Linked DNA regions of Mus musculus: region 2 is reported to be linked to region 1. The links are microRNA targets in miRTarBase. Many come from high-throughput screens and were not tested one by one. Region 1 holds a microRNA gene; the other region holds the end of a gene's coding sequence.
The links. The annotated mature microRNA mmu-miR-186-5p reads CAAAGAAUUCUCCUUUUGGGCU and lies in region 1 at 1,221-1,242, shown strand. An mRNA with a match to its seed (bases 2 to 7 or 8) in the 3' UTR can be bound and repressed. Matches are read on the target gene's strand: a 7mer-m8 pairs with bases 2 to 8, a 7mer-A1 pairs with bases 2 to 7 and ends in A, and an 8mer does both.

Region 2: miRTarBase lists Stxbp4 as a target of mmu-miR-186-5p. Seed matches in the 3' UTR shown: 8mer at 3,206-3,213 and 7mer-A1 at 3,874-3,880.

What each region holds. Positions count from the first base shown.
Region 1 is chr3:157,543,065-157,547,492 of GRCm38, forward strand. It overlaps Mir186 (microRNA 186), which reads left to right and starts at 1,215; the gene lies at 1,215-1,285. It overlaps Zranb2 (zinc finger, RAN-binding domain containing 2), which reads left to right. Exons shown (of 10, transcript NM_017381.3): 8 at 94-180; 9 at 1,900-2,058; 10 at 3,611-4,428. The coding sequence ends at 3,674.
Region 2 is chr11:90,477,130-90,481,340 of GRCm38, reverse strand. It overlaps Stxbp4 (syntaxin binding protein 4), which reads left to right. Exons shown (of 18, transcript NM_011505.2): 18 at 627-4,211. The coding sequence ends at 741. Among named protein-coding and RNA genes, the nearest start is that of Gm34850, 6.4 kb to the right of the region's middle.

The DNA.
Region 1 (4,428 bases):
TGCACTCTTAATATATGTCTTTCTTTCAGTGTTCATATCACAAACCTCAAAAATGTGGTCCTAGGGGAAAAAAATGCTTCCGTGTTGTTCCAGGTCCCGTTCAAGAAGCTCTTCCAGTTCGCAGTCCAGGTCTCACTCCGGTTCCAGAGAACATTCCAGATCCCGTGGTTCGAAATCAAGGTGAATGAGGTAGCGCCTCTGTAGAGCAGAGGAGAGTGCTCACAGGCTTCAGACGGCTCCGCTGCTTCTCTCATTGCCCTGCTTCTGTTTGTCCGTTCTGTTGTAGCCCTGGGAATCTAACGCACCTACCTCAGCTTAATCTCACCACACAGTGTTCCCACCGCACAGCGTGCCACACATTCCCACGGTTGATTAAAGGGGGTGGGGCTTGCACATATAGCTAAGATACGTGTGATGTAGGAAGGTGAAGGCAAGTTACTCCACCTGGTATATTAAGTTTATGTTTACAGTTAATTTAAATTTGACATACAAGTGAGAAGTTATTTCTGAGAGGAAGACCAACCATTCCATCATCTAGCTTCGAAACATTTTATATTTCAGGCAAATGTTTACAATAGCTTTGCCTGGTTTTTCTCAGTTTCTAGTGAGTGCTCTATGTATTTACTACATCTCCCTGACATTAAAGAATATTATAAATTACCTGTATAACAAACACCCCTCTTAAAACCAAGTCATGTAGGATGTTGGCTTAAGTATGGTTTGATATAAGCCATGCTGTGAGTATTTCAAAGGAAAATGATTGGTTAAAAAAAAAAAAGGCAATAGAAGCATTAGGCTTTTGGTTCCTTGAAAAACTTTTTTGTACTTGCTCACTATGCTGCCTTCATGTTCAGTCACTGTATTGTTGTGTCCTGCAGGCATACAGCATTTATACGAAAGCCTCTAAAATCTCACTTGTGGCTTTTACATTGACGTTTCCTAACAACTCTTCTGTAGAAAGACTCACTTACTTGAGCCCATTCTAACATTTGAAGGCAGCTGCCATTGAGTCCCCCTGAGGAGAGAGAGGGGTAATGGAGCACTGACCAGTGCTCTGCTGACCAGCGCTGAGTAGAGCAAAGGTTTCTTTCTTATTGCATTAACTATCCGTGCTCACTTCAGACTGTGGAGTCTTGGTGTGGCCCTCTGGGAACTGTAGGACTGAGGTTTACAGGACAGCCTTCATATCCTTCCCAAACATTTAATTGCTTACAACTTTCCAAAGAATTCTCCTTTTGGGCTTTCTCATTTTATTTTAAGCCCTAAGGTGAATTTTTTGGGAAGTTTGAGCTAAATGCCTTCAACTAAAAATATGTAAATAGAGATAAATTTGCTCTTTAAATTACACATTTACTTCCACTTAAAACATGTAAATGTTACTACTTCATACTTCATAGCACAGTTCTCATACAAATCACATTGTAGAGTTGCCATTTTCATTGACTACTTCACAGCTTCAGTGTTCTTTTTCTGGGCCATGTCCCTCAGGTGTCTGTAGCACCTGTAAGAAGTTAAGTTCATTGTCTTCAGCAAGCTTTATAAAAAGTGAATTTTCCTGACAAATGGGAGGATCTATTTTCTGACTATAAAGTCACCACAGAATTGATTTCACTGTTTGTATACTTTAAATTGGAACACTATAAGCAATTATAAAAATATTCTGTCTTAATTCAGTAAACTACTTCTTAATTACCAAGGGTAACTATTTAGAATGGTTTAAAGAGGAAATGATTGTGTGTAAATAGAACTTGTTGATGGTTGACCCAGAAGCCTTCTGAGTAAGCAGTAAGTATTCCCTCCTAAAGTCCTCATAGTCACAATCCTGTTTGCTTTTGGGAACTGGACAGTCTTCACTTCTGCCTTTAATGAAACGTCTGCTTTGTCTCTCAATCAATGAAGATCCAGCTCCAGGTCCCACAGGGGCTCTTCTTCCCCAAGAAAAAGATCTTATTCGAGTTCTTCGTCATCTCCTGAAAGAGACAGGAAGAGGAGTCGCTCTAGACCTTCTTCACCAGCTGTTCGCAAAAAAAGACGAACGAGATCACGGTCACCCGAAAGGTTTGGGTTTCTGTAGAATAAGAATGGGTGTTCTTATGTGTATTTCATAGGTGGACTTTGTAGGCAAGGGTTAGATTTCTTTCTCCTTTGTTCTTTAAATTTTTTATCTTTAAACTTCAAAATTCAGATTACTTTGTTTATCTTGCTTATTAGAAAAAAATTACAGGACAGAATATTCTCTAATCATTTTACTGTTCAAATTTTATTTCCACGTATATTATAGCCAACTCTCGGTTATTTTTGTGTTTTTAAAGATCTAAACCCAAAAGCTATATGTTGAAATGGTTTACATGTGTTTGTTTTTTAAGACTAAATGTTAGAGATGGTAGGGATCCTAGGGTACCTAGTCAGGATGAACTTGCAAAATCATGGGGATCTGTCCTCCTTTAAATGTGTTTAAGTTTTACAAGTGCATTTCTGTAGCACGTAGCTTTTATGCCCTTTACACGCCCTTGGAGTTAATACTTTTTTCATCTTGCAGTCCAGATCCATTTTCCTCTTTTGAAAAGGACCTTCTCTGGGTCCCTGTATCTAGAGTGCACTTGACATGTGTCAGCCTTTTCTGCAACAGACTTGATTACTTGATTTCACTAATTGTCTCTTGGCTTTCAATGTCATAATAATGATTTGTGGCTTCACTTGTAGTCTTAGCAAATTTTCCATATTCTCTCAACTTGTGAAAGAAAAGAAGGCTCATTAGATCTGGTGACGGCTGGGTTTAGAGGGTAGGGTCAGAATTACATGTCCTCCACATTCGAATTTCAAGATCGTACCCAGTCTTCCTTCTGTGCATTGTTTCTTCATATGAAAATTACTCTGTACTTGAGATAAATTCATTATGTTGCCATTCTACTTCTTCTGCGAGTTTTTATCTTAGCCACATATAATTCCCCCCCCCCCCCCCCAGTTTGTTGTCATCTAAACTTAATGCACATGTTCTCTATTCTATAAGCCAGGTGATTGGTGAAAACATTAAACAACCCTGAGCCCAGGGCCAACCCCTACGGAACACCACCACTTTTCCCAGGTTGATACTGACTTACTCATGTTGGCTGCATGACTCTAGCACTAAAAGCACTAACTGTACATCACCTTATGTGATCTAGACTTCCAAAACTTCATTGCTTTGAATGTACTTTCTCATGCACTGTGCACTCAGAAGCCTTGCTGTGTTCCATAGAGACCCAGTGTGTTCTCTGTGGTACAGCATACATTGATTTTGTCACACCTTACCAGGATTCTTTGCCTTTCTTGTACATATATGAGATTATGAGCTTTTTTCAAGGCTTTCCCTTCATTACCTTGAATAATTGAGAGGTGGCTATATTTGAAATGAGTTTATATTCTTAAATTATAGAGAGTTTTGAGTTCAAATCACACCAATTCTGGGCTTATATCAAAAAAGTTTATAAGCTATCTTAGGTTTTAAGTTCTCCTGGGAGCATCAAGGTACCTAGTGTGTGCTCTGCTCTTCTCTGGTGTTTGCAGTCTTAGGAACAGACACCTGGTCTAGTGCTGTTTACAGATTGTTCTGCTCTCTTATGTCTTACAGGCACCACAGGTCGTCCTCCGGATCAACACATTCTGGTTCCCGTTCAAGTTCAAAAAAGAAATAATGTATTAAAATTTACATCTTTAAAAAACATTGAGTACAGTGCATGAAGCATATTTTTTAGGAAGTTGATGTCTCATTTGGTCAGAAGTACTACATCTGCTAGTAGAGGTGCATGCCTTTATTGCTTTTCAAAACAATACAACTGTGTTTATTTGTGAAACTGAAAGTAAATTGCATTTTAAGCCATATACTGTTCCCCAGATAAATGCTCTGTTCATTATTTACAACCATTTGCTTCATTTAAAACCATCCTAGCAATAACAGAGTACTTTTGTTTCCTACTTTAAATCCTTGTCCTTTTCATTTCTAAATGTTCTATTGACAGAGACAGGGTTGCCTGGGCTTGCCTGGACTTCAGACACATGGGCAAAGCTAATAAGCTAGTTGGAATTACCAATTTATGTTCATATGGGGTTAGTAGTCAACCTGGTTATGTTATTTACCTCTGCCAGTAATTTCTTACCAGCAGTTAACTACGTTGCAAAGCTGACAACTGGGAACAAGCTGAGGGTGCCTTAGAATCATTGTCTCTTAACAGCTTTACACCTCTTAATGCAAGAGGATTGTAGAAATTATAGAAGAAAAAGGTTAATCACATCATTTCAGAATGTTTCTCAAAGTTTAAGAAATGCGGATATCCTTTTACCAAATCCTAGTTACCAAATATTGTACTTGATCGATAAAGGATTTTTAAAAAAGGCTAAATCATAGTTAATGAGCAAATTGAAGAAAGCTTTTGAAACCTGTTTCTCAGT
Region 2 (4,211 bases), not on the chromosome of region 1:
ATATTTCAAGAACAAGAATATCACTTGCAAAACTTGGTTTTCTTGCTTCCTGCTCTCCCCATCCGGGTAACATTATAAGGGAAGCAGTAGTTAAATTAGAGATCGTATGGGTTCAGATGGAAGGACTCATATGGAGAAATTTCTTCTTTGGAGTAAGTGTGCCCTGACTCACTAGGGAAGAGAAATGCCCTCCAGAATCATACTGTAGAATTTTTCTTGACCCAGAATTGAGTAGAGCCGAGTATTTCTCAAGTAAATGACAGTGTATGCTTTGTCGTTTGGCCTGGTCTTTGGAGTGGAGTGGGGAATGAACACTGGAAAGGAGGGCAGCAGACAAACTCCAGAGGTGTTGCACACAGCTACACAGCCACAGACATACTCACAGACAGTGTCCTTCAGATGAGGAAACAGGAGTTTGAGGTGATATGTTCATCTTCATTCATGGTTATAAAAGACCCTAAAACCTCTCCAAGCCTTCTTAACACTACTGGATCTGGTTCTAATTGCTTCCTGTCCCAGGGGCCAACAACTGGGTCGAAGCAGGTAGTCCCCAGAATCAATACGTGTTCCGTTACGTAGAAAGAGAGCTGTTCACATGCTAATCTGCACCCCTTGTTCTTCCCAAGCCACGTGACACAGACCACGTCCTGGATCCACCCCGTGATGAGCGCCCTGAACCTGTCCTGTGCAGAGGAGAGTGAAGAGGACTGTCCCAGAGAGCTAACAGACCCGAAAAGCTGATGGGTTTCCATGGGAAATGGAGCAGCAGAGTCCTCTGGCTTCTCAGTCCATGTCCACAACCAGACACAAGCCACCACACCCCGAGACACAGGAATCCAGCACGTGCACCAGGCAGGGTGTCAAGTCGCAAGTGTGGTATTTTCGTGTACATGTTAAAGATCAGTTGCCACTACAGTAGTTTTTTTGGAAATAATCTAGTTGCATTTATTGAAGTCATTTATAGTCAGATTTTACATGCATAAACCTCTTTATAATTAGATCTTTATAACTCAGTATGTTAGCTCATTGTTTGGTATGAGATACAATGGTTTGTATATCAACACTTCATATTGAAAAGTTATACGAACATAGCAAACTCCTTTTTATAACTCTCCCTCCCAACCCACAGCTTAGGAAAAATGTTCTGAGAAAGCGAGGGGAGGCTGCCTCACAGCTGTCCCACTAGCTGCTGACTACAACTTGTACCAAATAGGACACCACCTAACTTATATTATTAGGAGACATCTATCATTTATAAAGTGCTTTCAAGCCGGGCAGTGGTGGTGCACGCCTTTAATCCCAGCACTTGGGAGGTAGAGGCAGGCGGATTTCTGAGTTCGAGGCCAGCCTGGCCTACAAAGTGAGTTCCAGGACAGCCAGGGCTACACAGAGAAACCCTGTCTCGAAAAAAAAAAAAAAAAAAATGCTTTCAAACCTCACCTTACTTAAACCAAACAGCATAGATTTTGAGCTGATCTACAGGGCAGTTCTACTCATGGCTTCAGCTGGAGAAACAGTGGTTCAGAGAGACAGAGCAGCCCATCCCAGGGATGAGACTCACACCTTATCTTCTGATTCCGTGTCCAGGCGCCTTTGCCCTGCTCCCTACTGTCCCCACAGAGGGAGATTGCAGCCCAGCAGAGTATCTACAGTCTGTTGATGCAGCTGGGTCCACAGCTGTGCATTCCACAGCAGTCCAGAGGACACCTCAGAGTCATGACCCACTCTCTTCCTTCTGCGGCCCCAACCCCACCACCACCACCACCACCACCACCCTTAGATACCAAGCAGGACACTGCTCTGTGACTTTTCAGTGGGCTTTGTATTTTCTAGACTAGAGACACTGGCTCATGGCCATGCTTAGGTGCCATGAGCCAGTAGGAGCATCTAAAGAGAGCTGACAGGAGAAAGGTATTTGTTTAAACACTGCTGGAGCGCTTGTAAAAGGATGGAGGCCAGGAGCCAAGCAAAGCAGCGCAGCATCACTTAGGCAAGCATAGAGCTCCCAAGAACACGGTGCAAGAACCTTCACTCAGGGCCACTTTATAAGTAAGTCACGGAGTTCCTGCAGTGGAGCAGCACCTGTGTCAGCATCAGACCCTAGCTCCTTACATTCTCTGCTGAGTTTTACCTGGTATAGGGAATGCATATGGAAAATACACATGGGCATCGTGCTCACCCATACCTCTCTGAATACATTTAAGATGTAGGGTTTAAGCTGAATGCACTTAGGATTCATGTTTTCCTTCATGAGGAAGAACATAAAGTCAAATACAGACTGACAAGGAGACTCGAACCCTAACAACGACAGAATGGCTGGAGCAAACGTATGCCTCTCCTCACAGCTGTCTGGATCTTAGGATGCTTCGAGAAGCGGGGTAGGGGTAGGTGGCTTTGAGAGCAGCTGCAGAAGGACCTGTTTCAAGTCCCAAAGAGGTGTGAACAGGCACTCACACGCTTTTATAAGACCGTCTCTGCTGTGACACCAGCACACTCCTGTTAGGAGATCATTCTCCTGCCTCGCATTGGAGAGTGTCCTCAATTGTTTGTAAGGGAAGCTGAGATGGGCTCCTGAAGCATGCAGTCTTTAATCTGTATGTGTGCATGTGTGTGTGGCACTCACAACCTCTCTGCTGCTAGTATCAAGTCCCTCCCTATTTCTACCAAATACATAATCAAAAAGATCTATAAAAACACATAGCTCTATGTACTGAGCACTCTATACCATACATTTCGGTATACAATGAACATCTTTTGGGAGGTCTTTTTGGGATAGCCACTCTCTGTGTATACCACCCTGGCCTTGAGTTCACAATCCCCCTGCCTCAACCTCCCAAGTACTGGTATTTCAGCAACAAGTACCTTCTTGAAGGTACCCAAAGTGATTCCAATTTTATGAAAAAGCTGAGGTTTAGAAAGAAGTGGTCCCAAGGATCCCACCATGCCTTTGTGTTGATGCTGGATCTGAGGCAAGTCTTAGACCCCAGGGCTTCCTTAAACCAGGGTGTAGAGCCTCCTGGATTTAGTCAGCCCTGCAGGACTCCAGCTTTCAGTCACGAAGAACTTCCCGATTTGTAAGAAAGGAATTCTCCAGGAGAAAATAGCATTCCATCAGGTTCCTGTGTAACTGAGCATCTCATGTGAATGCAGCTAAGGAGGTTGAGCCTCTGAATTAGCTGAATCAGGCGAACACTCATTGAGAACTATTCTTTAGTCCCTATGTCCTCACCCATGTGTTCCCTTGGGATGCTCAGTAGCTACCAGCGGTGTGACCAGCACTCTGGTCACCAGGGCAAAGCAGAGCTACAGCTAACCATTTCAAAATAAAAATGATCTTGAAAGTCAGAATTTGTTAACTTCTAAATTTTAAAAATAGTTTCTTTTCCTTTCAAAAACGAGATCAAAGTTCTGTAGAAATAAGTCGAGTTAGATAAATAGCCCGTCTAACTTTCTGGAAGCTGCCGTCACCAATATTTCAGTAACTATTTCCCCTCGAGGGTAAGCCTGCCACCCTTAAACAGCTCCCCCTTGAATTGGTATGTTGTGGTCATCTTTTCATGGTGATATACGCATTCTGTTGCATTTTAAGTGTCTGCTTAAGCTATCACTTCCCAGAATACCCTTCACCAGTTGTTCAGCAACTCATTAAAGAAATCTTAGGCTACTGTAAGGTCTTTCCCGTAACAGTGTCATGGCGAGCATTTGTGTATTTATTAAAACCTTTTCTTCAAGTACCCCCGCACTCAAACATGAGCGTCTGTAGACTGAATACTTTTGAAAGCCACTGTGTCAGAGTACAAAGTTTTGTCACTGAACAAAGAGCTTCTCCATCCCTGCCTAAAAAACCTGGATTTTTGTTTTAAATTGGATATTTTCTTTATTTACATTTCAAATGTAAACCTGGATGTTTTAATCATTGGGTTTTATCATCTCTTTAGCATCGGAGACTGGCTTGCTGTGTGGGGCAGAGTCTGGCAGTGACTAATTCAGTGTTCCACACATGGCATTCCTCTCAGTGTGTTCTACTTTACATGTAATGATGATAAGGACTTGCTTCTAAATTAGCAGAGAGAGCAAAGGCATGCATACAGCATGCGCACCATTTCTCTATCTGTGGAACAGTGGCATACGTCCCTGTGCCCACACAAGGCAACTCAGCATGCATCACCTGAGCACCTACTAAGTGCCTGACCATGCAAAGTATTAGAATT